2 linked regions of the Schizosaccharomyces pombe genome follow. The protein of the gene in region 1 interacts with the protein of each later gene in a biochemical or structural test. Each region holds a gene or a part of one and is shown in the gene's direction. Other genes may lie near its edges.

Region 1 (15,321 bases):
TATGGAAGACAGTAGATGAACGAACATTCTACACTTACAAACGGACAGTTAGTTATCGCCTTGGAAATTCAACTTGCTAATAAAATTATATTAAATGATATGCATATTTAATTCCATTTTCCGAAATCATATTTTCTTCAAAAAATAGCATTCAAACGCCTCAAACTCATTATCACTCCATTCTTAATTGCCAACCTATATTACCAAATGCCGATGGTGCACATTGCCAGATAATCGGTTATTAGATCCGGGTCTAGAGAACGAAACCATTGCAGTTGTTAAAATAGCATATCTTCACAAGCCATTGTAAAATAAAAATATCAAGATATCAGATATTCATTAACGGTGTATCAAGAAATTTGAGCGCAGTTAACTTACAGAACCTCAAGTAGATAGGTATCGGTCGCATACCTTATCTTTCGTCCTAGTTCACTTGCGAATGTTCATACTACATGACGCCAGTCTAATTACTACTTATTCATCCCCGTTTGTAAATAACGACTCGGTAAATGCTACCTCGGTTAATTGGACTTTGTAAATGTTAACAGACTTAGCGCGACAAACCTTTGAGCGGCAGCATGGTATAGCAGAGGATGAAGTGAAAATTGGGTTGTTTTAATCAGAATTCAAAAAGTATGGTTTTCTATGTAGGATCCTGAAGAAAACTGCTTGGACTCCTTAGTGGCAGAGCAGATGACAATGAAAAAGAAAGTCTTTTTTTTTTTTTAATTTTCTTTTCGAATCCTTTCTTTCTCATTTATTTATTTATTTTTTTGATATGTCTTGTGCCCCACTAATTGAACGGCCACAGCAGTGTGACGAGGTAAATTAGATCGAAATAGTATACATTTTAAGGACCTGCTGATGAAGTAAATAAAAAGGGTTGATATCGTTAAATTGGTAAGTCACATGTTGGTTTCCGACATTGAGTTGAGAAGAATCATGTAAACATTACCAAATTCATTACCGAAACAATATGAATTAAATAAATAAATAAATAATATTTAGAGTTCAATCCAGCCGAATTGGCATTTTTTTACTTAGCAACTAACTGTCTCAAACGCACCCTGGCAGCAAAGGCGTGAAGGTAGAGAGCGTGTACAAATGCTAATGTTTTGTCGGCTTTTTACAGCGCTTCGTTGCTATTTACAATGAATCCAGCGCGTTGTTTACGGTATAACGACGCGGTAAGCCACAATAAACGGTCGATTGCTACCTCTCGTCCAATCTACCTGGTAACCGCTACCTAAATGTAAACAAAACAGTACGCAAATCCAAGCAGTAAACAATAAAACCAGCCATTAGGTTAGCCAATTAAGGAGTCAAAAAGTGTCCATATTTGTCGATCATTGTTTACTTGGTAGTGATTGGTTGTCAAATTTTCTTTATCGTAGCATACTCTAGAGCGCTCCGTGAGTTGAGAAATTGGTATAAAAGATACTCATGCCCAGTTCCTTTGTTCCATTGTTTAATTCAAAGACGAAAGCTCTAATTTAGATATCCTTTCTTTTCTTTCTTTACCTTTTTCTTTCTTTTTATTTTTAGAAGTCGCTTGCATTTTCTATTTTACACACTTTCCTTTACATACAGCCCGATTATCTGTTTTCTTCGTTAACATTGTTATCGTGAGTTTCAGTTTTTCTTCCTTTTTTTTTTTTTGCTGTCTGTATCGATATCCTTTTTAAAAGGAACTTCTTTTTTTTGAATCGGCCAATCACTCTGTCCAATTGTACATTGCTATTTTGTGTGGAACTGTTTTTGTACTTCCTTTGTTCTTACATTGCGCGGTCCATAAAGGTGCTCATATATATACCCCTTTTCTTTATACCTATTCTCTCTTCTGCTTTGAAGAACACATAAATATATACACACTCACTTGCTTTTCTCTTAGAATTTGAGACGTGCTTTTGAATTGAACTAAACTGGTTTCTTAACAGTTTTTCGTTCTCTTATTCGTTCTTTATATCTATATTCTATCTCTTTATAATATCATTAAAATGCTCTCTTTTACATCGGTTTTTTCTTTTTTCTTGCATGCATTGCTTCTCAAGACAGCATTTTCCTATGTAATCAAGCGAAATAACCCCGTTTTTGACTATACCTCGGAAAAAGTCCGTGGTGTAAACATTGGTGGCTGGTTGGTGCTGGAAAATTGGATCACTCCACAATTGTTTACTCAATTTAGCAGTATGTCGAATCCTCCCACTGATGAATGGGGCTTTTGTGAGGTTCTTGGTGCAGATGAAGCTGCCTCTCAATTAGCTGCTCATTATAGCTCATTCTACACTGAATCTGATTTCGCTACTATAGCTTCTTGGGGTGTTAATGTTTTGCGTATTCCTATTGGGTATTGGGCCTTTAATGTGGTAGACGGCGAACCATATGTTCAAGGGCAAGAGTACTGGCTCGATCAAGCTCTTACTTGGGCTGAACAATATGGCCTTAAGGTTTGGATTGACTTGCATGGTGTTCCAGGCAGCCAAAATGGATTTGAAAACTCTGGTAAGACTGGTTCCATTGGATGGCAGCAAAATGACACTGTAACTCGTACTCTTGACATTATTACCTATGTTGCTAATAAGTATACCCAATCTCAATATGCCAGCGTGGTTATTGGAATTGAGACGGTAAATGAGCCTTTGGGCTATGGTCTGGATATGGATCAACTTAAGCAATACGATTTAGATGCCTATAATATCGTCAATCCTCTTTCCAGCTCTGTTGCTACTATCATTCACGATGCCTATGTTGATCTTTCTATTTGGGATTATGGTGTTGTATCTCCTTCTTCATACAATCTTGTTATGGATGTCCATCGTTATCAACTTTACGAGTCGGATGAGTGCTCAAAGACTCTCGATGATCATCTTTCAGATGTTTGCTCCATTGGTGATTCCATTGCTTCCTCTCCCTACATTACTGTTACTGGCGAATGGTCCGGAACTTTAGCAGACTGCACGATTTTCGAAGAAGGAGTTGACTCTTCGACATTTATTGGACCAAACAGCGGTGATATTTCCACTTGGACGGATGAATATAAGGGAGCTGTTCGTCTGTTTATCGAAACTCAGTTAGATCAATTTGAACGCGGTGCTGGTTGGATTTACTGGACTGCTAAAACTGGTGGACCAAGTCCTACTTGGGATATGGGATTACTTATTGAATACGGCGTATTCCCTCAACCTTTCACTGATAGACAATATAGCTCTTACTGCGGTTAAGCAAAGCCATATCAAAGTTAAAAAAAAATTTTATCTATTCTAGCTGTATAACACTAATTTATATCTCACACATCGTTGTCATGTCCTGTCCTTGCATTTATCATCTACTATCATTTAACGTGCTGCTATCTACTATCCATTCAGTCTTTGTTTGTTTGGCATTATCTTTAGACATTAGTTTTTAATATATATTGTTGTTTTCGAAATCTTTTAGTTATGTGATATTAATATTTTGGTAGCAAGTTCCTACTAAATTAATATTTAGCTTAATAGTTTACGTTCAATATTGCATATTTTTTCGAACTCTATATTAACAGTAGCTGTACTTTGGAGAAAGTTGACCGAGAAATCTTTTTAAAGTTGTCCAATTGAATTTTCAATTATCAAGTATCTTCAGTTTACTTATATGAAATGTATTTTCTGCTCTACTCTTATAAGTCAGTATTGAGCCACATAGACGGACCACTTTGAGTTAGTCTCGGAAAAGCAAATCGACAGAATAGGTTTTCACTCAGCCACAGGTGACATATGTTTAAAATACTTTTATAAAAATTACATTTAAATTGAGCGATTTCTTGGTAAAGTAATATTACACATTTTCTGATCTGATATAGGCTTTATACGCATTAAACGAAATAAGCTCATTAAGCATTCTTTAACGAACTCGCTTTTTTAATTTAATGAGATATCTAATTCACTAGTATGTATTCATTATGTTGTCCCTAACAAGATCAAAATTGTTACACTGTAAATGTAACGTAGTTTGTCGACTAATTTATACGAATAATAGCTTTCTTCTTGCCCAAATTAGTGAAATTTGTTAGACAATTTAAACAATTAAAATCATATACAGAATTAAATTGACTAATTCTATTTAATCGAGAGTAACTTAAGTATTGTTCGTCGAGCGTATATACCAGCTGCTACTTATTGCCCTTGTGGAGGAGGACATTACTGTAATTTACCGTGTTTTAGCACATTAAACCTTTTAAGGATGTCTGTTTAACTAACGGTTACGGATGTTTAAGGAGTAAAAAGTCGAGTCTGCAAAATAACTGTAACCTGACCTACTAGATGATCGAGCAATTGTTGAGTAGTTAGTATATAGTAATCACATATGCTCCCCAATGGAATATCAAAGAGCCATTGATTCTATTGAAGAATGTCTCAATAAACAGTTAAGACTGTCATCCGAAAAGGTTGACCAATATGTACTAATAGAAAACTGGACCTCATTAGTAGGCCACTTGAAAACCTTACACTCTTTAATATCAAATTACACAAATGGTAGAGAATTACAAAATGAAATTAGTTCTTTGCTGAAGCAGGATAAGGAACTGGATTTACAAATTCAAGACTGCATGAGAGAAATGACCTCAATTTATGATACCCATCTTCCAAAAACAGTGTCGGGGAGAAAACGACAAAAAGTTAATGCTGAAACACTCCTTGATTATGGTAGAAAACTTTCCAAGTTTTCCTCTGCACCTCCTGGGTACAATCCCGAGACGGGTCAAGATGCAAAAGCTCCTGTGCATTATCCTTGGCCATCGGAGGACCAGATGCGAAAAACTCTGTTGTTTCAGTTTTCAACTAGCATGGTTCCAAATTTATCGGCTACAGCGTCCCAATTATTTTCTGAACAGCCTCCAAAGACGAACGAGCCAACGGAAACAGAAACAGAAATTGATGCGAACAAAGCCGTTGAAGAAAAAACTAAAATGAATTATCCTGCCTCTCCAACATTCACTACGCAAGAGGAAAATAAAGAAGTAGAATCGCCAGCTAATAAGGATGTCTTTGCAGGATTTGATCTTTTTGATCCAGAAATGGAAGAAGATTTTTGATTCTAAATTGTGTTATTTGTCAAGTGATATCTGGTATTTTACTTTTCTAATTATAGAGTTTTTTGCTTTGACCAAATACCCTTTTGTTTTAAAAATGAATAAAATTACGCTTTGCCGTTTAGACTGTATTTATTTAGCTTTCAGACTTCGCAAAGCAAGATGATTGAACACTGTTCCTTGCTTAACATTTGTCAATTCAAATTTAATTAATTTTAAGTATAATTTTCGAACAATCTACGTTTTCTGAGTTCATTTAATTATGCGTTAGCATGAAAAAATTCCTTTTCTGCGTGATCATTCCTTGCTATGGGCATAAGGCTCTCTATTACAGAAAAACCGAACGATGGGTCTTTTTTAAGGACTAAAGTTGATGATGCATGAATGATATAACCTTTAATATATCCTTGGTCAATTAGAGAAACACAGATACATTCGACATCGTCCATGTCATATGAGTTATCATTTGTACTTAAACGGGCCGCGGTTAACAAGTAAGAACCAGATACGTGCGGGGTTTTTTGGCTTTGCTCAAAAGTAAAAAGAAACCTTTTTAAATTAGTCGAATATTTTAAAAAATCTCAAACGTACACCTTTCTAAATAAATTCCTCCACAGGATGATTTCACATCTATCCAATAAAGTTAGATATATTCCTCGTTTGATAAACCATTTCCTCCTGGAATTGTCCTCCAAAGATAATCTGAACGACTTGATATCACCACTTTTCAAAGCTTTTATTAAAGGTTCGAATGCTGCAGTCAATTTGTATTTTTCTAATAGCCCTTTTGTTGGCGATTTTCCTAATATAAGTAAACACGTTGTAAGATAGATTAGAGAAAGCCTTTTTTGATTAGTAAATATAAACGAATCCTATTTTTGAGTAAAATAAAACATACCTTTTTTGATGATAACACTCATCAGGGCACTGAAGAAACGAAAAAAGTAGATGGTCCTTTGCCTGATGAATTTTGCGTTGATAAAGATGACACCTTCCTAAATAATAACGAAACGTTACTAATTCCGCCATTGTAGCGCGAGAAATATCGGCACCCGAAGAGATGACATTAGCTTGAATAGTTTGGCAAAGACGAATTTGCTTTAAGCGAAAATATAGTAAACAAAGTAAATTGGCAATACAGAATATCGCATCCTTCTTCGAAGGGTTAATGTTTTGTTGACGATCACTCAGTATACTATTGAACGTTCGTAAGACGTTCCTAGATGCATCGCTCACGTATTTCCTCTGTATGAACCCATTACCATCAAAAGAATCTTCTAAAGTAGGTGTAGATGTATCTAGCTGAAGGGAGAGCTTTACATAAAGCTTTGAAACGCGTTTTACAATTGTACACAACCATGCTCCATCGATATGGGAGAAGCAAGTTGTCAAGTTACTAGAAAAACAAAAGTGAGAAATAATAAACAAAAAGTTTTTAATTACCTATACAAGTTTTGTAACAATTCCCATTTTCGTTGATCAGGAGAAGATGCAGCATTTTCAACGTACTCAAAATAGGTAGTTACCAATTCCTTCCAACCTCTTATTCTTCCAAATTCTTTTTGAATGGTTCCGTTTAACTTATTTTTCCCCTTTCTATCCTTTATCACGGTTAGTTAATGTTATAACCTGAAGACAATTACTTGTAGTGCAAGCCTGCGACATACCAAAAAAAGAGTTTTACTGAGCTGTTGAAACGAGGGCTCTGATGGATCTAAAATAATACATTTCTCCAACGTATTGGAGTTTTTCTCTCCAACAGCGTTACTCAAAGTTTGCAGAAAGTCATTTAAGGACATTCCAACCTGTTCCTTCGCAACTTTTAGTACTAAACTTTCAATTATTATGTAACGATAAATAAGTTATAACAAGAAAACTCAACAGATATGTTTTCGCTTACATCGATGTTCTCCAACTCTCACGTTCTGAACCTCATATACGAATAACGAAAGTTAGCAGGTCGTAAACCGGTATACGAGGATTGTTAATAGCACAATAAAGAGACATACTAAGAGTACAGCAGCATTCCTCAAATTAAATGCTACCAGCATCAATCCCCAAAACCGTAGCACTTTATATTGATTTAGTCTTAATCATCTCGGTTTGAAAAGATTCTGTTTCGAGTCTTTGCCAAGAATTAGGGAAATAGTAAAATATGCTTTTACCTAGTATTCCCTCGTGTTCATTTAGCTTTGTTGTTTTCGTTTCCGTTCTTCTCCAAACCTGTTTTAGTTTTCAATTAACTCCCTTAAGTCCGAAAAACTATCCTCCCGGTGCTTCAATTGATACAACTGTCAATACCATTTCACCATTTATTGGAGATGGACGGGGTTCTGACATCTTTAATTATGAATGTACGTGGTTGATAGCTCACATGAAGGTTCATGTGTTTTTTTAAAAACTTTACAATTTTAAATTAGGAAAACACTATAGAAATATGATTTAATGAAGGATATAACATTTTCTCTCGAACTTTTTTGCTTGTTACTAACTTCACTTTAGACTACGATGAGCGTTTCCACTTCTGTCGACCAGAGAATATCGCAAAACAATCTGAGTCACTTGGAAGTGTGCTTTTTGGCGACCGTCTCTACAACTCTCCCATTGAAATAAAAATGCTTGAAAACCAGGATTGTGTTCCCTTGTGTGCCTCGATAATTCCCAGTTCAGATGTCAGTTTTATTAGAGATTTAATCTCCAAAAACTACGTTGTTAACTGGAACATAGATAATCTGCCCGTAGCAACATATTTAGAAGGGACTAACTCAAAGAACTACTCATTATCGCCAGGCTTTCCATTAGGCAAGAATACGGAGAAGGGAGTAATTCTATTCAATCATTATGATATAGTTATAGAATATCATACGACATCTAGTGACCAACACCGTGTTGTGGGTGCTTATGTAAAACCTGTCTCAAAGGAGTCTACTTTAGTTGATGGAAACCCAGTTTGTTCTTCGTCTTCAAATCCACAGTATTTACCGGAAGGAGCTGATCTTACTCTCGTGACCTCTTACTCAGTCTCTTGGAAATATTCCGATACTCCATGGGCTACCCGATGGGACAAATATATGCACATTGAATCTAGGCAAATTCGATGGATCTTTATTATCCATTCCGCAATTATTGACACATTTCTAATTTTTGTGGTTTCTATTATTTTGTACAGAACGCTAAATCGTGACATTAATAAATATAATAGCGCCTTTGTCGATCAAGAAGATGTTCAAGAAGATTTTGGTTGGAAGCTAGTTCATGGTGATGTATTTCGTCCACCTCGTAGACCCATGCTATTTTCTATCCTTTTAGGGACTGGTGCACAACTTCTTTTTATGAGCTCTGGTATCGTTTTATTTGCAATTTTTGGCATTGTTGCACCCTCTCGTCGTGGAAGTTTAGCTACAGCAACGGTGGCCTTATTCATTATATCAGGTTTCGTTTCTGGTTATGTATCTGCATTATCCTACAAACTGATGCAAGGTATGCTTAGAAAGCGAAATCTTCTGTTAACTCCTTTTGTCGTACCTGGTTTTATGCTTGCGGCAGCTCTTTTCTTTAACATGGTATTTTGGAGTAAAAGTTCATCATCAACTGTACCCTTTTCAAGCTGGCTTCTACTCATTTTCCTGTATCTATTGTTTACTGTACCATTAAGCTTTGTCGGTTCTTTAATCGGCTTTCGTTCTCGAGAGTTCGTCCCACCTGTTAGGACAAACCAAATCCCTCGTCAAATTCCATCTCATAGTATTTGGCTTTCGAGTTTTCCTAGTGCGATTATCGGTGGATCTATACCATTCCTCGTAATCCTTATTGAATTGTTTTCTATCCTTGACAGTTTATGGTTTCACCCATTGTATTTCATGTTCGGTTTCTCGTTCTTTTGCTTCGGTATTTTAGTAACCACTTGTATCATGGTTTCCATTATCACTGTTTATTTCCAATTGTGTTCCGAAAACTACAACTGGTGGTGGCGCTCTTTCATAACACCTGGATTTTGTGGAATCTATGTATTTATATTTTCAGTATTTTACTGGTTTTTTAAAATCTCATCATCTTCCCTTGCTACTGCCGTTCTTTATTTCGGCTATAGTTTACTGATTTCTGTTTTGGTATTTTTCTTATGTGGATCGGTTGGTTTCTTTGGCGCCTTTCTCTTTGTTAACAAAATTTATGCGTCCATTAAAATTGATTGATTATTCGAGGCATTTGTACATACCTCTTTATTTATTGTTCAATTTGAGCTTTCTCCGTTACAAACCTTATTAATCAACAAAATGACTTGGAGAACACTCTCTTTTATATTCAAATAATTTCATAGGAATATGCCGTTTTTTTTCGGTCATCCAATATATAACTACAGTTTGTTTTACTTTGTGTAATAAAACCTTAGGTACTATATCATAGAAGAAATTTGAAAATTGTAATCTTAACCAAAATGTTTACTTAGAGTAAATTAAATTTATGTTTTCTACGTTAAAAGCTTTATTATATGTTACATAAATAATACAAAAAAGGAATATTACTCTAACTATATTTACGAAGCTCGCCCAAACCTTTTTCAACTACCAGTATTTCGCCTTCAGCTCAACCCTACTTTAAAAATTGTCTTTATATTACTTTTTCTCAGTTTACCAAATATTTAGAACGTAATTATTAAAATATCGGAAGTATGCCTTCTTCTGCTAGTGAACAACTTCTTCGAAAACAACTAAAGGTAAGCGCACGAAATCTTCATATCCAAATATTCATGATTGTACATAGTATCTTAATTCTTGAACACATACTGATAGATATAGGAAATTCAAAAAAATCCTCCACAGGGTTTTAGCGTTGGTTTAGTCGATGATAAATCCATTTTTGAATGGGAAGTTATGATCATTGGACCAGAAGATACATTATATGAAGGTGGTTTTTTCCATGCAACATTATCGTTTCCTCAAGTATGTATTTATGTTTCACAGAAAAATAATATTTGTTGTATAAGGTAAACAAGCTGGTCACTAACCTCGAAAAATTAGGATTATCCTCTGATGCCTCCAAAGATGAAGGTATAGTAAATACATTGATTTTTTAATTGATAGAAACTACATAGTCTATGCCTAAAAACGATTCTAACGGTAACAGTTCACAACGGAAATTTGGCACCCTAATGTTCATCCGAATGGCGAAGTTTGCATATCGATTCTTCACCCACCAGGAGATGACAAGTATGGATACGAGGATGCTGGAGAACGTTGGCTTCCGGTACACTCTCCGGAAACCATATTGATTAGTGTAATTTCCATGCTTTCTTCCCCTAATGATGAGTCCCCTGCCAATATAGATGCTGCCAAGGAATTTCGAGAAAATCGTGAGTATATACTAACCTACAAACAAAAAAATTTACTCTTTAATAATCAAATCGTACTAACTTTTTCCAGCACAAGAATTTAAGAAAAGAGTTCGTCGACTTGTTCGCAGGTCAATTGAAATGATTTGAAGATAATGTTCAACCTAGGTCCCTAATTTCCTATATTTAGAAAAAAGGCTATGAAGGAAATTCAAGTCGCTGCATAGAAAACCTCCTAAGTCAACTAGCAGTAAAGCTTACTCAAAAAGTCTGTAGCTTTACAAGTTGAATTGCATATTTTATGCCATCTTTGAAGTATTGCCGTTGCCCATTTTTTGAATAAGTTTAGCAAACTGTTCATTTATTATCACATATAATGAAATATTGGCAGAACGGTTGACATTTTAAAACTAACAGCTTTTGATTCTTTTCTGTTTTTATTATAAAGCTTTCAAGTTTTTCAAGTGTTACAACCGCAAGTGATTTATCCTACTTCTTTACCAATTACAGCCATAATTTAGATAAACAACAAATAAAAATCTACATTTCACGATTGAATTTTTTTCTTTGAACAAACGTCAGCTAATACTTCGTGAATTGATAGTTTTCCATTGAAAATTTTCTATTCAAGTAATTATTTTCGCTTATACGCTCATACTTTATCAGCGACGGTTTCAATTCCGCGTTTTGCACAACATACATTGAATGCAGCGATAAATCTCAGTCTATTATATTTTACACTAACTAGCTCAATGTCTCCTACGTATCCGAATGACTGATTCAATGATTAATCAAACCAATTAAAGAATCTAGCGAAACTTCGTTGAGTTTGAAAATTAAATACTCAGAGTAACCATTTAAGATGAATATTAAAATTGCATTAAGAACCGTGAAAGCATTGCCTTTTCATTTAGCGTTTTTTTATTGCATTATGCTTAAACTTTTCAGAATGACAATTAATATTACGCTATTCCGCAGTATGGTGGTGTTCACACTGGTTCAAATGCGTATATGGAACGTAGACAGCTATTAGGTCAAATCAGATATTAATAGCTTTTATCATTGTCATTTCTCCCTTAACTATTTGCAAGTCGAAAAAAATCCAATTTTAGCTCATGCACAGCGTTCTGCAGTAAACATGCCTCTGGCATTCACAAATCCCGGTACACCTCTAAAACGTACAGCTGCCTACGACAATGTACAATGGAACCAAAATCGAATATTAGTAAGTGAATGGACGCAAACGATATGCGTTTGTCTGCTAGTGGTTAAACTGCAGAACGAAAGCAGCATGTCAAAGTATTGTTTCCAATTGAAGTAATTGTTTAACTAAATGGTAGACATTTGGAACTCGCTATACCGTATTAATTATTGTAAATAACTACGAATCTTATCAAAATATACAATTTGGAGAGTCTATTGGTGCAGTGGCTTTGGACCAACGTACGGGGTTTCTAGCAATAGCACATGGACAAGTTTTGGATATTTATAAGCCCGCCGATTCTTTGAAATGGACTCATCATTACAATTATATAACTCAGCTTTCTGAAGATATTACTCAACTATCTTGGGGATACAATTTTGATCTGTTGCTTTGTGCTTCGTCATACACTAAACTTATAAATTTCTCTGAAGACAAACCCAGGTTGGTTTGGTCGCAGAACAGAATCTCGGATTCATTCCTTAGTAGCACTATTTCTTCCGATGCTTGTTTTATAGCTTCTATCGAAACAAAAAATCCACTTGCTAAAGTTTGGCAGCGAACATCTCCTCAAGGTACAGTTAGCTCATGTGATGATTTCAGCTATCTTGTTCATCCTTGTCGCGTAAGGTTTTCCCAATGGTCTAAACACCTTCATCCGGACGCCAGTGGATCGACTCCCTTCCTGAGTACGGTAGGCTATGATAACGTTCTAAGAATTTGGCAAGTTGGTAGCCGATTTGGTTCTCAATTAATGCATCTTTCTTGTTTTCTTAACTTGAGAAAATACTACAAATCTGATCAACCACCATACTGCTGTTTTATTGATAAGGACGATTTTACTATAGCATTAGCACATGCTATAAGTCGCCATTCTGGTCAAGTGCATAAGGATCGCATTTTAAATAGGCTTCTGGCTTTGGCCAGTGGACAACCACATATATTTTTGCTATTTACTTTTGAATGTTTGTACATATTTTCTCTAGTAATTGACCAGGAAACTTTGTCATCTTTTGAGCTTATTAATCAAGTTCCAACGAACTTTCCCAAAGGCGCTCTTCAACCTGACGGATTTATACCTATTTACAGGACCTCAAAACACGAATTTTACGATTATAACATCATTTTATTTTTTCAAAATTCCGCCCGTGAATACATGTTTAGTCTTACCGATTTCTTTTATAGTGACTTTGAGTTAAGAGTTAGTTACGATTTTTATGGACATGATTATCCCATAAAAAGCTTAACAAGAACCTCTAATGGTCATGGAATTGTATCCCGAGATGTTAATCGTATCTGTATGTTTCAATCATACATATCGCAAGACGGGAAAAATCAGTTAATTTGCAGGTTCAGATTATTACTTGGAGAATCTGACTTTATATTACCTCTTTATGCTGGTGAATATGCAGCAGTACTCAACTTAAATTCTTTAAAATTATGGCATTGCAATGAAGCAATTCCTCCAACCCTTCTCTGTACATGTCGTCAAGTCCCTACTAGTCCGATAATAACCTTCTTTATTCTTCCTGTTCAAAACAACGATAATTCCGCCCTATGTGCTTTGACGGAAGGAGGCCATGCCTGGTTTTGGAGTGTCTCTAACGAAGCTCATGATGGTTCTGCTGTACTTCGGTTTATAGATCGGGTAAATTTTACAAAGAATTTAAATATCGCATCGGCTGTAGATGTCATGGGTTGGTCTTCTACTTTAAATTTGAGCAGTTTATCTTCATTTGATCAAGAGGTATTTCAATCAATATCAAAAGACGGTTTATTACAGACTTGGATGGCAAGAGTATTGGGAGACGATAAAGCGGAAATATCGGAAATTTCCAAAGTGCAAACTAGCATCAAATCTGCAACTATGATCAAAGGCTCAACATCCAAGAAAGTTGCTGTTGTATCTGAGAACAATCGTCGACTTTCAATTTTCGACACGCGTAGTTCAGAATTCTCTGAAAAGGAAGAATTTTCCTCTGTTTTTGATGATTATGGACCAATAAATGACTTGGATTGGACTTCTACTCCCAATTCCCATTCTATCTTGGCTGTTGGCTTTCTACATGATGTTATTCTTTTGTGCCAAAATCGCCGATCTTATATGAACGATATTCCATGTTGGTCTCGTATTCGTAGATACAATCTTTTAGAATATACAAATTCATTAATATCTGACTCTTCTTGGTTGGATAATGGGACTTTAGTTACTGCCATTGGTAACGGACTTTTTTATTTTGATAATTCACTTCCCGAAGATCAGTCTTTACTGTTCCCTGCATCATTGAAACGTTCCGCAAAAAATATTTTTGATCTTGCATACCAGCTTAATGGAATTTTACCAGTTTTTCATCCTCAATTGTTGCAGCAGCTTTTACTTAGAAACCAACCCTTTCTATTTACTAATATTTTGCTAAGGTTTTACTTGTGTTTGAAAGATGATGTAGATATGCATTTTCTCTTAAATATGGACTGCAGTGAGTTTTACTGCTGTGACGAAGAAATTTCTAAAGACCTTTTAATAAAAAGTCTCAGCCAAAATTCTGCGGAAATTCTAAATCCTGCGGAATTGGATTTTGAAGAGACCAGTGTCTCAAAGCATTTAGGATTATACATTGATGAAATGATAAAGAAGTTGACTGCATTATTAAAAGTAAAGAAAGTCAAAACCCTCACTCGATCATCTCAGTTTTTACTTCTTAATTTAATCGAGGCATTCAATAAGGCAAGAGCATTGCGAGATTCATTGGACCTCAACGGAAAAAGATATTGCATTATGCTAAACCAGTACGTTTTATCAAAACATCAACGTCAATTAACAAGCTTGCCCACCCGAGAGATGGCGTGGGCTTTTCATAGCTCTAACAAAGCTGTTCTGTTGGACCACACTAAAAAGCTTCATGGAAAACCATTGTTATGGAATGCTGTTGAAGAATATGCGATACCGTTTTGGCTAAATGAGCAGCTACTGAAAGATGTATTTTTAGAGCTGTCTCGCAATCATTACGCTGAGATTGACGATAGGAACCCAGAGAATGTTAGTTTATATCACATTGCTCTACACAAAATAAATGTATTTCGTGATCTTTGGCGTCTTGCTAGTTGGCATAAGGAATCAGCTCGAACGGTTAAGTTGCTTTCGAATGACTTTTCAAAAAAGAAGTGGAAAGTGGTTGCATCCAAGAATGCTTTTGCACTTTTAAGCAAGCACAGATATTTTTATGCTTCTGCATTTTTTCTTTTGGCAGATAGTTGCTATGATGCCGCAAAAGTATGTATCCGTAATTTAAAAAGCATTTCATTAGCCATCGCAATGACTCGAGTCTATGAAGGCGACGATGGTCCGACCTTAAAGAGGCTAATAAACGAGTATGTACTTCCTTTGGCTGTATCTCAAAACGATAGATGGCTCACCAATTGGAGTTTCACTATTTTAAAACAGGAAAAAAAGGCCTTGCAAAGTTTGGTATCTCCCATTCGCTCGCTGGTCAGCGATAATGACTTTATACAACTTTATACATCCGATAAAAACGACCAAGAAATTCACGAAAATAAAGATTCACAACGAAATAGTACTAACGAACCCGTACGAAATAAGTTTCCGTCTGATGATCCTGCCTTCATTTTGTTATATGAATGTTTAAGATCCAGCAACGTGCAAATTGATGAAAGTCTTGAATATCGATTTGTTTTGCATAATGCTAATGTGTATTGCCAATTAGGATG
Region 2 (16,399 bases), 790 kb from region 1:
TGAATTCCTGAGCATCGCCCCATATAGCAAGCATTTATAAAATGTTCATCAAACATTACTGAGTAAGGAAGAGATAATAACCATTCAGGGTAAAATCGCAACCAAAACAGTAAATCTAGCAAGAAAAGAAGGTGAATATCCAACTTCCATTAACTATGGAATGCAAAACACTCGTGCATCACCAGCTGACAAGTGCATACGATTTCTCTACTTCATGAGGAGTCAGCCATGGACGCCTAACTTCATGAAGGTCGCTTCGTGGCAAAGCAAGCTGTTCATTTTTCTCTATCAATCAAGAACCATCAAATATGCTGAATCAAAATTCAAGCCGAATCACTAATAAACCCCCAAATAGATACACAAGATCCCATTCCATTTACCAATTCTCAAGCTCGCAGTCCATGAAAGGTATGCGTTACAATAACAATGACTGAACAGAGCACTGTACGTGCATTATAGAAAAGTCAAACCGGTTAATTTTCAAGACACCCTGCATGCAATAAAAACTTATGATACATAGCATGCAAAGTAATTACCAAAGACCAAAGCTCCCAAAGCTTTTATGAGTGGCAAGCGAATGACTAGTGGGAACTACAACTTTGGCAACCCATACCTTTAGGATAGGAACTAGGGAGTTAAAAATGCAACCTTCATCCCTACTTCATGCATAAAGTAATTAGAAGATAGCAACGGGACGGAAATGCAAATGCGAATTCAGTAATGAACATCCGAAACTATCTAAGACACATGATTAAGATATACGCCAAAAAAAATGTTACAGTTCCTTTTCTAGAAGCAGTGAAGTATTCGAACAAATAGTTAATGGAATTCACGGGAAATAGAAAATATAGCTATTAAACATGTGGACGACTGAACTCAGGGAAAAAGTAACAAGTATATAAAATTTACTGATTCTTAAGATTGGTAGAAAGCCATTCAAGACCTTCATAAAGACCGTCGCCGCTAGTGGCACAAGTGGCTTGAATGTACCATTGACGATGACGAAGAGAATGAAGTCCTAGCTTATCAGTGATCTCAGCGGCATTCATAGCATTAGGCAAATCTTGTTTGTTGGCAAAGACCAACAAAAGCGCGTCACGAAGCTCATCTTCATTGAGCATACGTTGTAACTCCTCATGGGCTTCGGAAATACGTTCACGATCATTAGAATCAACAACGAAGATAATACCTTGCGTGTTTTGGAAATAGTGTCTCCACAAGGGACGAATCTTGTCTTGTCCACCAACATCCCATACAGTGAAAGAGATATTGCGATACTCAACAGTTTCAACGTTGAAACCAATGGTAGGAATTGTGGTGACAATTTCGCCAAGCTTGAGCTTATATAAAATCGTAGTTTTACCAGCAGCATCAAGACCAACCATGAGAATACGCATCTACATAAACAAACGATACTATTAATAAAAGTCCTTCTTTTTCAAACTTTTCAAAGGTTTTCACTTACCTCCCTCTTGCCAAAGAGGCTTTGGAACAATTTGCTAATACTCAAACCCATTATGTCTTATATTCTTTCGTACCGAATGTTTTTCTATTTGGTAGTGGTTTTGGTGGAAGAAGAAATTTATCTGGTGGTGTGCGGTGCAGTATGGCTGGAATTACGGTGACCGTTATCACCAGAAATGAACCACCTATGCTTTTCTTTGAAAATATTCGCCTTTCATGTCTGAAATTTTTTATTTATTAAATAAAAATCTCGGATAAAAATTCTCCCTGTAAATTTATGTATTTTTTTTTTACCCATCCTCAGCCCAAACTTCCACCCTGTTACCAGTTTGACTTGTAAATAAAAATTAAGTGAAACTGATTATAGATCTTAACATCTAAAATAGATACTATTTTTTTAAACTACAGTATGTTAAATATCCATAATTCCCTTCTTGCTAAAAATCAAAGAGTCTAAGCATGGATGTCAACCTGTTTTCTTAACTTCGACAACAACTCTCTTATAATGACCGTGACTGAAAAGAACCTTTGAATTTTTTTTAAAATTTTTCACTTTTTTTATTATCTTATATACTATGGGCTATCAATTATCGCGTCAATTATATAGGTAACTCGTTACATTTGTTTTGTAAATCACAGTACCTAAAAGATCATAAACCTTTTAAAAATGAAGGATTAAACACTCTTATGCTGCAGGAACTCAAAATTGAAGGATGAATTAACCGAATGCGAATCAACAAGTTCACTTTCATAGCTTATTTTGAGTAACAAGGTGATTTTGAGGTGTAAGATGAAACCTTCATTTCTAATTCTATGACACTGTGAAAAGTATTCATGAATGTTTTTAATATTTAAAAAAGTGGTCAATTTATAGCTCTTAAACAAGGCAGTAAACTATAAAATAATAATAGAAACATAACCATCAAGAGCATATGAAACCATGCGAGATCAATTGCAAAAATGAAGCTTCTTTTCAAATGTAAAGCTCTTTTTAAGTTAACTTAAAATGAGTACGTGAAACACTAGGGCTTACTGAAATTTTTGGAATTGAACTATACAGCGACTACTTTATTATTGTTGATTAACATTCCTTTGAGGTATTTATATTTGACTTGAAGACCAACTATTAAAGAGTAAGATTTTGATTGAAATAGGACAGGGGAATTTTTCATTTGTTAGGAAACTAATTGATACACCAAATTTTCAAATCTCATATAGGTTTTTTTTATAAAACTAATAAACGAAATAAAGCTTTTTAATTTAATAAAAATATATACAAAAGCGACGATATTGTAGCATCTTCGGTTAACTCAATGCTGTAATCTGATAGTCAGTAATATCTGACATACTATATAGTTCAGCACCACCTCTCTTCAATCAGCAGAATTGCTCAAAAATGGTTTCTTTTGAATCAAGTTTTGAACGAGGTACCGATTTTTTGAATAGAAATTTTAAGAAATGTCTCTTCGCATGCATTTCCATCTTCATTTTTGCGCTTTTAGCATTATCATTCCTATCACTGTTACAACCAGATACAGTGCAAAGGCTTTACCAATGCGCTGTTCCCTCAATGATTTATGTTCCACCGATGATTAATGAAGCAATTTCAATACAACATGAAGAATTCAACAATCGTAGGCGGAGACTTTCGGCTGCACTTCGTGAAGATAAGTTGGATGCTCTAATTATGGAGCCTACAGTTTCAATGGATTATTTTGCAAATATCACTACTGGCTCCTGGGGTCTTTCTGAGCGACCTTTTTTGGGAATAATATTTTCAGACGATGAACCCTATCCAGGAGACGTGGCATCAAGAATATATTTTCTAGTACCTAAGTTTGAGCTACCACGTGCTAAAGAATTGGTTGGCAAAAACATTGATGCGAAATACATCACTTGGGATGAAGACGAAAACCCTTATCAAGTTTTATATGACCGGTTAGGACCTTTGAAGTTAATGATAGATGGTACTGTGCGAAATTTCATTGCACAAGGTTTACAGTATGCTGGATTTACCACATTTGGGGTGTCCCCCCGTGTTGCGAGTTTACGGGAAATAAAAAGTCCAGCTGAGGTAGATATTATGTCAAGGGTCAATATTGCAACTGTGGCAGCTATACGATCTGTCCAACCGTGTATTAAACCTGGTATTACGGAGAAAGAGTTGGCGGAAGTGATTAACATGCTTTTTGTTTACGGTGGATTGCCTGTGCAAGAGTCACCGATAGTTTTGTTCGGTGAAAGAGCAGCAATGCCACATGGAGGTCCATCGAATCGTCGATTGAAAAAAAGCGAATTTGTCTTGATGGATGTTGGTACTACTTTGTTTGGCTATCATAGCGATTGCACCCGAACTGTACTTCCCCATGGCCAAAAGATGACTGAGAGGATGGAGAAGCTTTGGAATTTGGTTTACGATGCCCAGACGGCCGGCATCCAGATGCTTTCCCATTTATCGAACACAAGTTGTGCAGAAGTTGACCTAGCAGCCAGAAAAGTAATTAAAGATGCTGGTTATGGCGAGTATTTTATACACAGATTGGGACACGGGTTAGGATTAGAAGAGCATGAACAAACTTACCTTAATCCTGCCAATAAAGGTACGCCTGTACAAAAGGGAAATGTGTTTACTGTTGAGCCTGGAATTTACATACCTGACGAAATTGGAATTCGTATTGAAGATGCTGTTTTAGCATCTGATGTTCCTATTCTATTAACAAACTTTAGGGCAAAAAGTCCCTACGAGCCTTAATATTTATGTGATTTTTTGTGATTGTAACCTGAATTGGATCAAATAATTTAATTCATACTATTAACATTAGTAGTAATTGAAATAAAATCAACTCATCAACGAAAGAAATTGAACATAAAAAACTATTTTGATTTATCCGCCCTGATATCTTCCTCTAATAAATCTAACTCTTCTTCCAAACGAGGATCTAAAACCGGATAACTAAGGCCTGTAGGATCTAAATCGGGGTTTTCCTGAGATGGTCGCCATAAAGAAGATAATGTAATTAAGTAAGTCAAATGCACACCATCAATCCATCCATCTAAGAAATACCAGCGTATTTTCCAGAGTTTGTTTGTTGAGTTATTATTAGTGTTTGAGCAAAATATCAATGCAACTAGAGAAAATGAGAAAATGGTAACAACACCACACAATACCATTATTCGGAAAATTTTATAGATGCTATGCAACGTATAGTACCGTTGTTCAACCAACGCGCGAAGAGTTGAAGGTAACGCAACAAAGGCACCAAACAAGATATATAGCGCTGAAATACAAGCGGTGAGGAAGAAAAAGCAAAACCAAAGGCCGAGGTGAATAGATTGAATGGTAATTGCAAAGAAGCGAACTACAAAAAGAGCGAAGAAACAAATTATTAAAGGAATTTTTGCTTCAGTAAATAGTCGATCACGCATGTTAGTTGAATAACGGGTATATCCCCAAGAGAGTATTAATAATAACGCAAGGTCCAAGACTAACTGACACGCAAACAAAATTGACACCAGAGTCTCTCCTAACCATGTGAAGTTCCCCCGATTTCTCAAATTTTCTGTATCCAACACAATAGAAGTGACAGCCTGTTGAGCACACGAAAAGATTAGCAAGAACATAATTGCCTTTTGAACGGTAACAATCGAATGTTTATATTGAAATCGGAAAAACATCCAAAGTGCAAGAATTACACTATAAGCGATTGTGATTCCACCAGATATAGGCATTCTAGGGAATTGAGAAGCGGGAAGCCCACCATACGCATTTTGCCAATTGACAAGAGCTTGATAAGGTAACATTTTTTTCGAATGAGACCAAATGCAATAATAACCTGACTGAGAGATTTCATATATAATGTTTTGAGGGTCAGCATTTGTCGGAATTATATAAGAACGAATGGATTTTGCTGACGTTGAGTTCCACAAATATAGTCCCAGTTGATCGGCTTCACATAGGTGATCCGTGTATACCGCATCGTAATCGCAAATGTAAGTGAATTGATCATCAGAACGGAATGCACCTAACTTGCGGATTTCTTTCCAATTGAATATCAAAACCTCAACTTCATCTTCTTGACCCCATGGTTCAGTCCAATTCACTAACGTCGTAAGTTTTTTAAATAAAAGCGTAAAAAAAGATATGTACATACCATAAATTGCTGGATTTAAAGACCCTCCAGATTCCGATTTCGAGTAAATGCCATTGCACAATTCATAATGCTTGAAATTCTAGCAAGAAGCCGCAGTTAGCAAATGATACGCAAGAAATCTGATTGTTTTACCAGTAATGTTTTTTCTGAATAAACTATGGAAAAGAATATACTCCATAGAAGAGATATCAGTAATTTCATGGTTTATGATGAGAGCATTAGATTTTTTATACTTCGAAGGACTGGGAACAAAAATTAAATACCAATGTTATGTAAATCAATGTACAAAATATTTTTTCCCAAAACCGATTCACGGATTATCTGCCAAAGTTGAGATTCAGAAGTTGGTGGAGGTTATTGACTACTTAATAAATAGTAATTTATTTATAGTTAGGCGATTAGCAAGGTTCAAAAAATAGCTGAGAAAGGTGTTGATTCGAGCCTGGACATCAACATTTTAATTAATTTTTTCTTTCTATAAACAATTTTGCTTGACTTGCTGAATTTCGCTAAGGATCAACATCATTGACTACTGGTGAATTCTTTCTTTGTTATCGGCCCAGAAATTACCAACCGTAAAATGTATTTTCCGCAATTAAAGAAAATTGTGAGGATTTATCCTTCTATTCGGTTTCATTTAATAAATTGAGAGCATTGATGAATAAATAGACTAGGTGTAGAAAAAAATTTAGTTGACGAAGCCGAATTTAATACCGCATGTTGTCTGGTCTAAACTTCTATTTTTGGTGAAACCGGTTTCCATTAAAATATCAACAAAAGTGATATTGCTAAACGTGGCATTTATAGTGTCTAAAGAAAGTATAATAAAAACCAACCAAGAGGTCGTTGATGAGAAATAATTATATAAATAATTAGTTAAATCATGAGAATAAGAATGATACATCAATTAATAAAAAATTACAATTTACAAAATAAAGTAGAGGATTTTTTCAACACAAAAAGTAATAGAGTCTTTTTGAGTTAATTATTTATTCAATGAAACTTACTTTTACATAAGAAATTATGGGAATTCTTTCAATTTGCAGATGGTTAAAGTATTTCTGTAACGACAGCATGCTTCGGAGAGAAATAATTATATAGGTTAAGGAATGTATTTTATTTTAAAAGATTGGATTTATTTTAATGTTCGTTGCTCATTCATAAACTAGTTCTGGTATTTTTACTACTCTTAAATTTGCACATACCCAACCAACAAGCAATTCTTCTAATGCAATTTGTTCTTTCTTTTCAGTCAAGCACCCAGTCAGCAAATTCTTAGTTATATGAGTGCTCAACATTTACATAGCTGCAAATTTTATAGACTGCCACTTGAAATTATCCCATTGATCTGCAGGTTTCTTTCTGTTCAGGATATCCAAAGTTTCATACGTGTATTCCCATCCTTTCAAACTATTTTAGACTCTTCTAATGACCTTTTTTGGAAAAAGAAAAATTATGAGTTACGAATTCGTCGAAATCGATTGCTTCGTGGTTCTTATGCTGCTGGTGTTTCGAGCTCAGCGATGAATGGATTTGTCAATGGCACCCAAATTTCATCCACACCAGCTGAGAGAGAATACTATAGTAAATCAGATGAAATAAAAAATATTTGTGGGCTTCCCCCGGGTCCTATGAAAGTGGAACAAATTGGACATGCTATTGACCATCTTGTCAGTGAGACTCATACAGTTGATCATCTTGGAAGTTCTATTAAAGCATCTTTTTTTCACATAGATGATGTTCCTTTAGAATGGATAAGCTCAATATGCATGCAGGTTCAAAGCTTTTTCTCCCCTGCAGCTCGAGAAGCTATATCTTCTCTAAAAAGTAGGACTACTACTAGCAATCTGCTTTTAAGTTTGTTCGTAGGGATACTATTTGAAGATGATTTGTGGTATTTTTTCAATACGCTTTATATGCTATCTTCAACGTCCGCTATAGAATTTGCTTATTTTCTGGACTCTATCTTTACTGTAGTCCGCACAGATTATGAACATTATCGTGACCCACTTTCACAAACACTAATTACTTCGTGTACTAGGATTCACAACATTGTAGCTGTCATTGAATCCCCTTATGATGAACCTAACACTAAGGGCCTTACCTCTGAACAAAAAATGATTGTTGAATGTCAATTAAACCCAGGAGAGGTTCTAAAAGTTAAAGCATTCGCTGGTACTGGCAAAACCAAAGCATTATTGGAATTTGCCAAGTCTCGTCCAAAAGATAAAATTTTATATGTTGCTTTTAACAAGGCCGCAAAAGAAGACGCAGAATTACGATTTCCATTTAATGTCAAATGCTCCACCATGCATGGTCTTGCTTATGGTGCTATACTTGCACAGGCCGATTTGCCGCAAGCTAAACTTGAGCGGCAATTATCAAATTCTACTATAGCTTCACTTTTGTCTTTGCAAGTTGCATTTCCAAAGGCAAATCGGAAAAATAATCCGGGTACACCATCCGCTAGCTTGGTAGCTTCTCATATCATGTTTACATTAAATAGGTTCATGCACTCCACTGACTGGCAGCTTGGTTTTCGTCATATAAGTAAAAGAAGCCTGGAAGTTACAAAACTCTCTAAAGAGAAGCTTTTGGCTTATACAAAAAAATTGTGGTCTCTTATTGTAAACTTTGAATATACCCATGCTCCTCTCATACCTGATGCATATATGAAATTATTACATTTGTATGAATTCCCTAATATTTTTTCAAAATATGACTACATTCTTTTTGACGAGGCTCAAGATTTTACTCCGTGTATGGTCGACCTTATTTATCGTCAGAAACACGCCCGAATTGTCATCGTTGGGGATGCACACCAATGCATTTATGGTTTTCGTGGTGCAAATGCATGTGCTTTCAATGAAAATTTGTACCCTTCCACAAAGCAACTGTGCCTTACTAAGAGTTTCCGGTTTGGAAACTCTGTTGCAAAATATGCAAATTTTTTGCTTTCATTAAAGGGAGAGAACGTTAAGCTTAAAGGGGTACAAAATGACCATGCGTATTGGTCTTCAGCAAGTAATCCCAACAATGTTAGTGGAGCGTTTCGATTTTTTCCTCATACGATTATTTTTCGCACTAATAAAGGTTTGCAATGGTTTATATTGATAAAAGCTAACGTATACAGAATTAATCCTACAATCGATTCGGCTATCAGTGTCATTACCTAAGGAGATACCCATTGCTATTCTTGGCTCAATGAGGAAAAAAGCATTCCAACTTTTGCGAAGTGGTTCAGAACTAGCGCATGGGCAGCGCCCTTCGCACCCAAAGTTAAAAGACTTTTCCTCTTGGGGAGAATTTGAAGTGCACGTAAAAAACTCAGCCGAAGAAGATGCCGAATTGGCTTTAGTATATGATATGGCCGACGAATTATTTAGTGAAAGCTTTCTGAGCCGATTGGACAATTGTGAAAAAAGATTGATGGACTCTAAAGACGATGGTGACAACGGTATTATTTTGGCAACAGCACATCAATCTAAGGGTCTTGAATGGGATAATGTTCAATTGGGTAATGATTTTCGACCAAAATTTGATAGTGTTTCTTTTTCACGAATTGGATCTTCGAGGTACTTGCAAGAGGAAATCAATATCCTTTATGTTGCTCTTACGCGAGCTAAAAAACGCCTTATCCTTAATGACACTATAACCAAATTATACGCATTAGAGTGCGGACTTGTTCGTTTTGCTGGTGGCATTTTAACGGAAGATCAGCTGCAACCTGGAAAAGTTGCTCTTTTTGTCGACTGGCAGATTGACAAGTTTAGCTTTTTTTATGAAACCCCTGCTGAAGGATACAATCTTTTGGTCGAAGCAAATGAGAAATCAGTATGGGATATATTTTTTGGAGTTCTTTCAGGCGCTTGGCAGAACTATATTGCGAATACATCTGAACGGCTTAAAAGATCGATGCTATTTATTGAAAATCAATTGTTTGCTGTACATGATCAGTAGAAACTATTTGATTTGTTTCTTTTAAAATCTATTTTAGCCATATTGATTGATGTACTATTGCTATTACAACCTTTAATATATAATCATTTAATAATATGTATATTCGTGTGGACATTTTCATTATAGAGCTATGTTACTATTTCGCTTATAAACGTAAACTCATATCAATCTGTCGCTGCACTTTCCATGTTAGAGTTAAAAGTAGTTGTAGTATTACACACAGAAAGCCATGGAAATAACCCTTCGTGTAAATAAACAGAAGATCAAGTTATATTTGTGCTTTAAAAGATTCCTATTAAGTGAGTCGATGACCCAATTAAGTGTTTATACCTAAAACATACATAAAGATGATTTCAAAAACTAGCAAGCAAGAAATTACTTCCCATCATCTGAATTCCCACGCAACGCTAAATAAACAAAAAACAAACTTTTGATACTCTCGTTAAGTGGCTTTGCTAACAATATAACGCAGTTATAAACAGTTTGTATTAGAATTAAGGTACCGAAGGTCGTTTGCCTTTATTAGCGTGTCAGCATACTACACTACGTTGCGTGTCACTATATGTCATATGTTGGAATACTAGTTAAGATCCGTTTGTTGATAATCACGGGTGACTACCCGTCTATATGAATAGATTCCTTTTGTTGACAAGTGTCTATAAATATTATAAATAGAGCTCCAACTGAACTGAGGAACGAGGTTCAATTATAAGCTATATTTGTGATAGGTAACATTGAAACCTAGATAATACAATACCTATACTCAGATTGCCTGCGTATTGCAATATGATAGGTCACAAGAAAAACTTACGGCACTTCTACATATCGTTGAAAACGATACCAAACTGTGTAGTTAACATTTAAAAATTAACTTACTTCGCTAACTTGATTACGACTGAGAAGAATTTGCTTCACTAAACGGCAGCAGTTTGCAAACCTGCGAAACTAGTTTTTGCCCTGTACCAAATCCTTTTGGTTACGAGAACAGCCATGGGAAAGATTCGGGTTAGGAATAACAATGCAGCTTCTGATGCAGAAGTGAGGAATACAGTTTTCAAATTCAACAAAGATTTTGGCCAGCATATCCTTAAAAACCCACTGGTTGCTCAGGGAATTGTGGATAAGGTAGGTAAAATTGCGATAATTTTTCAACGAGGTTTATTTTCTAACATAAGACAAATAGGCTGATTTGAAGCAATCCGATACTGTTTTGGAAGTAGGACCAGGTACTGGTAACTTGACAGTAAGGATGCTTGAGAAGGCGCGTAAAGTAATTGCTGTTGAAATGGACCCCCGAATGGCTGCAGAAATCACCAAGCGTGTGCAAGGGACACCAAAGGAAAAGAAATTGCAGGTGGTACTTGGTGATGTGATTAAGACCGACCTTCCTTACTTTGATGTATGCGTGTCTAATACGCCTTATCAAATTTCCTCACCATTGGTATTTAAATTATTACAGCAGAGACCGGCTCCTCGTGCGGCAATTCTTATGTTCCAGAGAGAATTTGCTTTACGCTTGGTTGCAAGGCCTGGTGACCCTTTGTACTGTCGATTATCCGCCAATGTGCAAATGTGGGCTCACGTCAAGCATATCATGAAAGTTGGAAAGAATAACTTTCGACCACCACCTTTGGTTGAATCAAGTGTTGTTCGGATAGAACCAAAAAATCCACCCCCTCCATTGGCTTTTGAGGAATGGGATGGTCTGTTACGGATTGTGTTTTTAAGGAAAAATAAAACCATTGGTGCTTGCTTTAAAACCTCTTCAATTATCGAAATGGTCGAAAATAACTATCGCACGTGGTGTTCGCAAAACGAACGCATGGTTGAGGAAGACTTTGATGTAAAATCTTTGATTGACGGAGTTTTACAACAATGCAATCTTCAAGATGCCCGAGCTTCTAAGTGTGGACAAACAGAGTTTTTGTCTCTGTTGCACGCCTTCCATCAGGTTGGCGTTCATTTTGCTTAATGGGGTCAGGATGGGGTTTTCCATTGAAACGTTAAATATTGGATCATTTATGGGTTTTTGGGATAATAACTTTATGGAATGTTAGGTAAAAACAGAAAATATAAAAAAATTAAAATAGAAATAGGGACGTTTGTAACAGCAGTAAGAGTTTATATATAATCAGTTGGTTGAAATGATGGTAACATTAAGAATACAATCAATGCTTATACTAATTTAAAAAGTAAAAAATAAAAGATAAAATAAATCTATACATAAAATAGTGGAAGAAGAGTTGTAAGAAATAAGGAAATTCGTTGGAAAACAGATATAGTTGTAATAATTGAATAACAGCAGTATTTACTATCTAAACGCAAAGTAATGTAGGAACCATATAGGTACTGAATGAGAAGGTCAGTGCCTAAAGTTGGAATAATAATAATAATATCAATTCAGAAAAAAGCTTTTATCAAATTATAAAAAAATAATAATAAATAAAATAAAAATGACTTAAGTGGTAGTGTTAGTGTTAGTTTAATCCCATTTTTCGATTTAACAAAAATAACAGATATGCCCTAGTTTCACATACATTTCTCCTAATCTAATAACCTGTCACATTAAATTTCGTTCATTTCCCGACCGTACTCTTCCCTAAAGGCCTCTTCAGGGAAAAAAGCAATTGCATTCGCAACATTAGCGTAATCCAAATAAAATCATTAAATGAAGTAAAACAAAAAAAATTCTCAAGCTATTCAAGGGAACAAATGCCCTACCATTAATACTGAATTGACGATGCACATTTGTTTATATTTATTATAATTAAGGATAAATAATAGACTTGCGGGAGCAAACATATATAAAGACGGGTAAAGAAAAAAAAAATTTAAATAAATAAAATAAAGCAAATAAAATTAAATTAAATAAAATAAAATAAAATAAGAAAATAAAATAAATAAAAATTGAAATGCCGTAAAATAAAATGGAAAATAAGTTAAGTAAACGTTTAAAAGAAAAGGTAAAATGTTCAAAATCAAATTAAATAGATAACAAAGTGAAGAAAATGTTTACAAGAATCAATGAAATTTATTTAAAAAATATTGTCAAAATTATTGCTAAATATATGATCAAATTCATTACCAAAATAACATTACCCATCGAACACCCCTAACAACTTCCCAAATTACATTCATCAAATGAATGGTATACTCCGTCGCTCTTTCTAATTCATTCGGCCATTCTAAATCCATGATCAAAAGTTTAGTGCCGTCTGCTCCAATATCGACCATTTTGAGATTCGCTTAGCAAAATGCGACACTTCTTCGGGCCCTATCCATTTTCCCGCTGATAGACATAGGAGTTTTGCAGCTTTGTCCAATTCTCTTCCAAAGGGAATTTCAAATTGTTAACCTAGTAAATGTAGTGGTGAAAGTGGTATACTGAATGTGCCTTCACAATCCATATAAATCGTCAACCTGAAGCCTGTGTTTTCCTCCATACAAAGGTTTACACTTGCTGGGAACCTAGGCGGCAAAAAGCGTGATGCCATATGTTTGGCCTTCAAGCATTCTGTTCGTCTGTGCATTTCACGTTTCAATAAAAAACATATAGCGGCCGGATGTTATTGGCATTTTCAAAAATTGACAAATTGTTATCTCGAAAAAAATTTCCCATCTCAAAAGTGACAAAGAGCTTGTTCGCTTGTACACTAATCGCAAAGTCACAAAAGTGGTAGAGCCGGTGGTAGAGTATTCACAACCACTACCTACTACAACAAGGGGGCTGTTGAAATAGTAAAAGTTGGTTGGAATTGAAAAAAAAGCAATTGAAAACACTTTTCCTTAACTTATTTCCATTTAAAAATTATATTTATACGGAGCCTAGCTTGCTCTGAGTTGGACTTCGTGTGGCATCGTAGTTCTGTTGCGTATGCTTCTTCCCTGTACTCATTAGTTTGGTGTATTTTTTTTCCCTTTTCTCTTTTTAGTTTCGTTTTTTGCTTCATTTTTTTTTTAAAATCTTTTTGTTTCTTATATACTCATAAAAAACCCTTTTTTTTTGGTGTTTTGGTGCGTGGGGTCTTTTTGGTTTTATACTGCTACTATTTAACTTGTTTTTCTTTTTAAAATTGAGGATATGCCTCGCAGAAACATTAAAATTCCCTGACTCACTCGCCGTTGTCTACCCTAAAGTGACTTTAAATTAAGCAAACATATATACTTTGTTTATATCAAAGTCTCGAGGTAAAATAAATAGATAGATAATATAGACCGTCAATGCTACAATGAGAAGACCAAATTTGGATCGTTTACGCCTCAAATCAAGGCAGGGTTTTGAGACTTCTGTTTCCAAACCCAGTACTCCTAGTTATTCTACGTATTCTCTTTCTCCCACATTTTCAGACAAGAGTGTTCTTTCTCCCTCCACTATGTCTGATTCCTACGCTCTTTCCTCTACTTACACAGCCGGTTCCTCTTATCAGAATGGCGAGTCCGATTATTTTGGTTCTTTACCCACTCCTTCCTCTGATAAATCATCGACTTCTCCCTTTCCATATTTGAAGGGCTCCTTCGATGATCGTTTCTCTTCAACCCATTCCCTTACACGACAACCTTCACCTCGTTCACCGTTAACTCCTTTAAAAGGAAATACCCGAGCTTCTCCAGAAATTCGCTATGTAAGCGATTTCACTCCTCCCTCATCTCCCTTTGAAGACATGCAAGCGTCTGTTCATTCTTTGCCCTTGTCTGGATGTTCGATTGGTCCTGTGCGTACTAACCATTCTTCATCTTTGTCAAATTCATCTAACTCATTACTACAAACCGAGTCCTCCTTGCGACCCAATTCTTCTTTCGTAAATAGTCCTTTTTTCCCCCTTCCTTCTTCTGATGATCTTTTCCTTAATGACAGAGTCATTAATCTCTTTCTTTTTTATGAAAAATTCTCTTATTTGTTCACTCATTTACTTTCTGCTATAAAATCTAGAGATGCGTTGAGCATTCCATCACTCGTTCTTTCTCTCCAAGAAGAACTCTTCAATCTCTGCCAGCAGACCGGGACTTTTTATCTTCTCCAACACAATCTCTTGCAAAACTTTGAGTTTGAAAACCCCATTAAATTACATTTTGATAAGATAATTCCCTACTTTTCGAGATTAACTGTACTGACCTTCTCGAATCGTGCTTTTATTTTTCCAGACCACACTTTTCCCCGCTTACAGCAAAGCGCTGAGGATTTTCTGTACCATTTACAATTTTTCTTTACTCTGTGTGCAAATAATAGTTTATACCTTAGTCGCTTTTGTTACTACCCTTCTTTTGTTCCCAATACTCCTTTCGGGGGCAAATGGACCAACAATGGTTTGTCTGCTGTTTCATCAGCATATCGAACACGCTTGCTTGAGCCTTGCCTACCCGAACTCGACAAGTGCGTATGGTTTTTATTGAAAAATTGTGATGAATTTATTGAAAACTTCTCTGATTTTGCCGATGAAGAGTATGTCTTTGAAATTTGTTCCACAATTACTAGCCACTCTGAACAAATCTTCAACAAACTTGAAAGTTGGGATATGTCGATATACTTTGATAAAGATTTAAGTGAGTGCGAGCAAGCTACAAACTTTGCAGTCCAATCTTACTTTGTTACAAAGCAACGTTGTTATGATTTATTAACTGATCTGGTTTGTTCATCTCAAGACTTGATGATGGAGCACTCAAACGATTTTTCTACAATGCCTACAATGATTGCTTCCATTGCTGTGGCTTTCCAAACTTTATTTGAAAATGTTTGTGATTTTCTTAAAGTACGTGCTGCTCTCGTCGATGAGATGCAGGAATTAGCAACAAAAGAGTTTGAAAACAAGTTTTCAAATGCAAACACAGCAAAAGATGACGAACCGGCTCGTCAAACTAACAAAGGTACTACTAGAATTTCTAGAAGTTCTGATTTTACCGCTGTTAGCGAGATGAGCAAGGATACCTTAACACTTGGCAGAAACTCTTTGCAATCAATTTTGATGCTGGATAATTTGTTAACCAATAAAGTTGTGCAAAGCGATAACAATGTTAAAGGTGGAACTTTACCGGCCCTCGTGCATTACCTTGTCCAGAACGTTCACTTGAACAAAGATTTTCGCCATTCGTTTCTTTTGACTTATAAAACGTTCACTACCCCCCAGGAATTGTTTACGCTTCTTGTCATTCTGTTTCACGAGTTACCGCCACCAGGATTAGATGCTACAGCATATAGTTCTTGGGAAAAGGGAGATAATTTTGTTACCAAGAAGAACGTCTGCACCGTTATGAATTTGTGGGTTCAAAAATACTTTTTTGAAGATTTAAAAGCCCGTAACACTCTTTATTTGATTTCGGAGATGCGTACCTTTTTACGTGACCATGTTGTTCCATCTTTTCATATTGGCAGTGTAATTTTATCGGAAATTGACAATCTCTGGACTGAAGAGCCTCCAGATTCGTTAACCCAACGCCTATTATCTTCTCCCATGGCTACTTTTATTTCTTTAAACGTATATGCTTATACTCCTGAAGAATTTGCTTCCCAGATGACATTATTGGAGTTTGATTATCTAAAGCAGATTCCTTCGAGGGAATGGATATTTAGAAGCTGGGTTAGTCGCGATTCTCGCAGCGCTGTCCGAAATTATATAAACTTTTCGAATTGTTTCACCTATTGGATAATCAATTGTATTTTAGAGAAAAAGAATACCAAAGCTCGTACAGCAGTAATATCCTTTTTTATACAAACTGCCTACAAGTGCTTGTCCCTCCAAAACTTTTCCACTCTAATGTCTATTGTTTCTGCCTTAAATTCTGCTCCTATTTATCGTTTACATGCAGCGTACAAACTTGTTAAAGCTGAA

Evidence for each region.
Region 2: the proteins of ubc15 (region 1) and fbh1 form a complex in vitro, tested with the Schizosaccharomyces pombe proteins (one study listed by BioGRID).

What each region holds. Positions count from the first base shown.
Region 1 is NC_003423.3:3,513,141-3,528,461, forward strand, and holds ubc15 (ubiquitin-conjugating enzyme Ubc15), read left to right. Parts: upstream 1-9,629; 5' UTR 9,630-9,734; coding exon 9,735-9,779; exon of another isoform or gene 9,780-9,861; coding exon 9,862-10,005; exon of another isoform or gene 10,006-10,008; intron 10,009-10,083; coding exon 10,084-10,113; intron 10,114-10,130; exon of another isoform or gene 10,131-10,189; coding exon 10,190-10,415; exon of another isoform or gene 10,416-10,485; coding exon 10,486-10,544; 3' UTR 10,545-11,005; downstream 11,006-15,321. Other genes in the region: cell wall glucan 1,6-beta-glucosidase Exg1, read left to right, coding at 1,998-3,221; pmc4 (mediator complex subunit Med4), read left to right, coding at 4,349-5,068; TREX/TREX2 complex subunit Pci2, read right to left, coding at 5,326-5,614, 5,657-5,908, 5,964-6,461, 6,509-6,666, 6,733-6,864; EMP70 family endosomal transport protein Emp70, read left to right, coding at 7,221-7,419, 7,568-9,258; RAVE complex subunit Rav1, read left to right, coding at 11,533-11,619, 11,735-15,321. UniProt on the Schizosaccharomyces pombe protein: Catalyzes the covalent attachment of ubiquitin to other proteins. Has a role in the formation of chromatin structures that influence the localization of transcriptional silencing factors.
Region 2 is NC_003423.3:2,726,398-2,742,796, forward strand, and holds fbh1 (DNA helicase I, ubiquitin ligase F-box adaptor Fbh1), read left to right. Parts: upstream 1-6,812; 5' UTR 6,813-6,898; coding exon 6,899-8,708; exon of another isoform or gene 8,709-8,748; coding exon 8,749-9,575; 3' UTR 9,576-9,687; downstream 9,688-16,399. Other genes in the region: ADP-ribosylation factor-like protein Arf1, read right to left, coding at 906-1,397, 1,466-1,516; xpa1 (X-Pro dipeptidase), read left to right, coding at 2,861-4,216; SPOM_SPBC18A7.02C (seven transmembrane receptor-like protein), read right to left, coding at 4,339-5,564, 5,616-5,694, 5,748-5,816; SPOM_SPBC336.16 (uncharacterized protein), read right to left, coding at 6,304-6,519; cdh1 (SSU rRNA dimethylase), read left to right, coding at 10,566-10,700, 10,759-11,547; Ras guanine nucleotide exchange factor efc25, read left to right, coding at 13,805-16,399. UniProt on the Schizosaccharomyces pombe protein: Involved in ATP-dependent DNA-unwinding in a 3' to 5' direction, and ATP-ase activities stimulated by the single-stranded DNA-binding protein ssb1.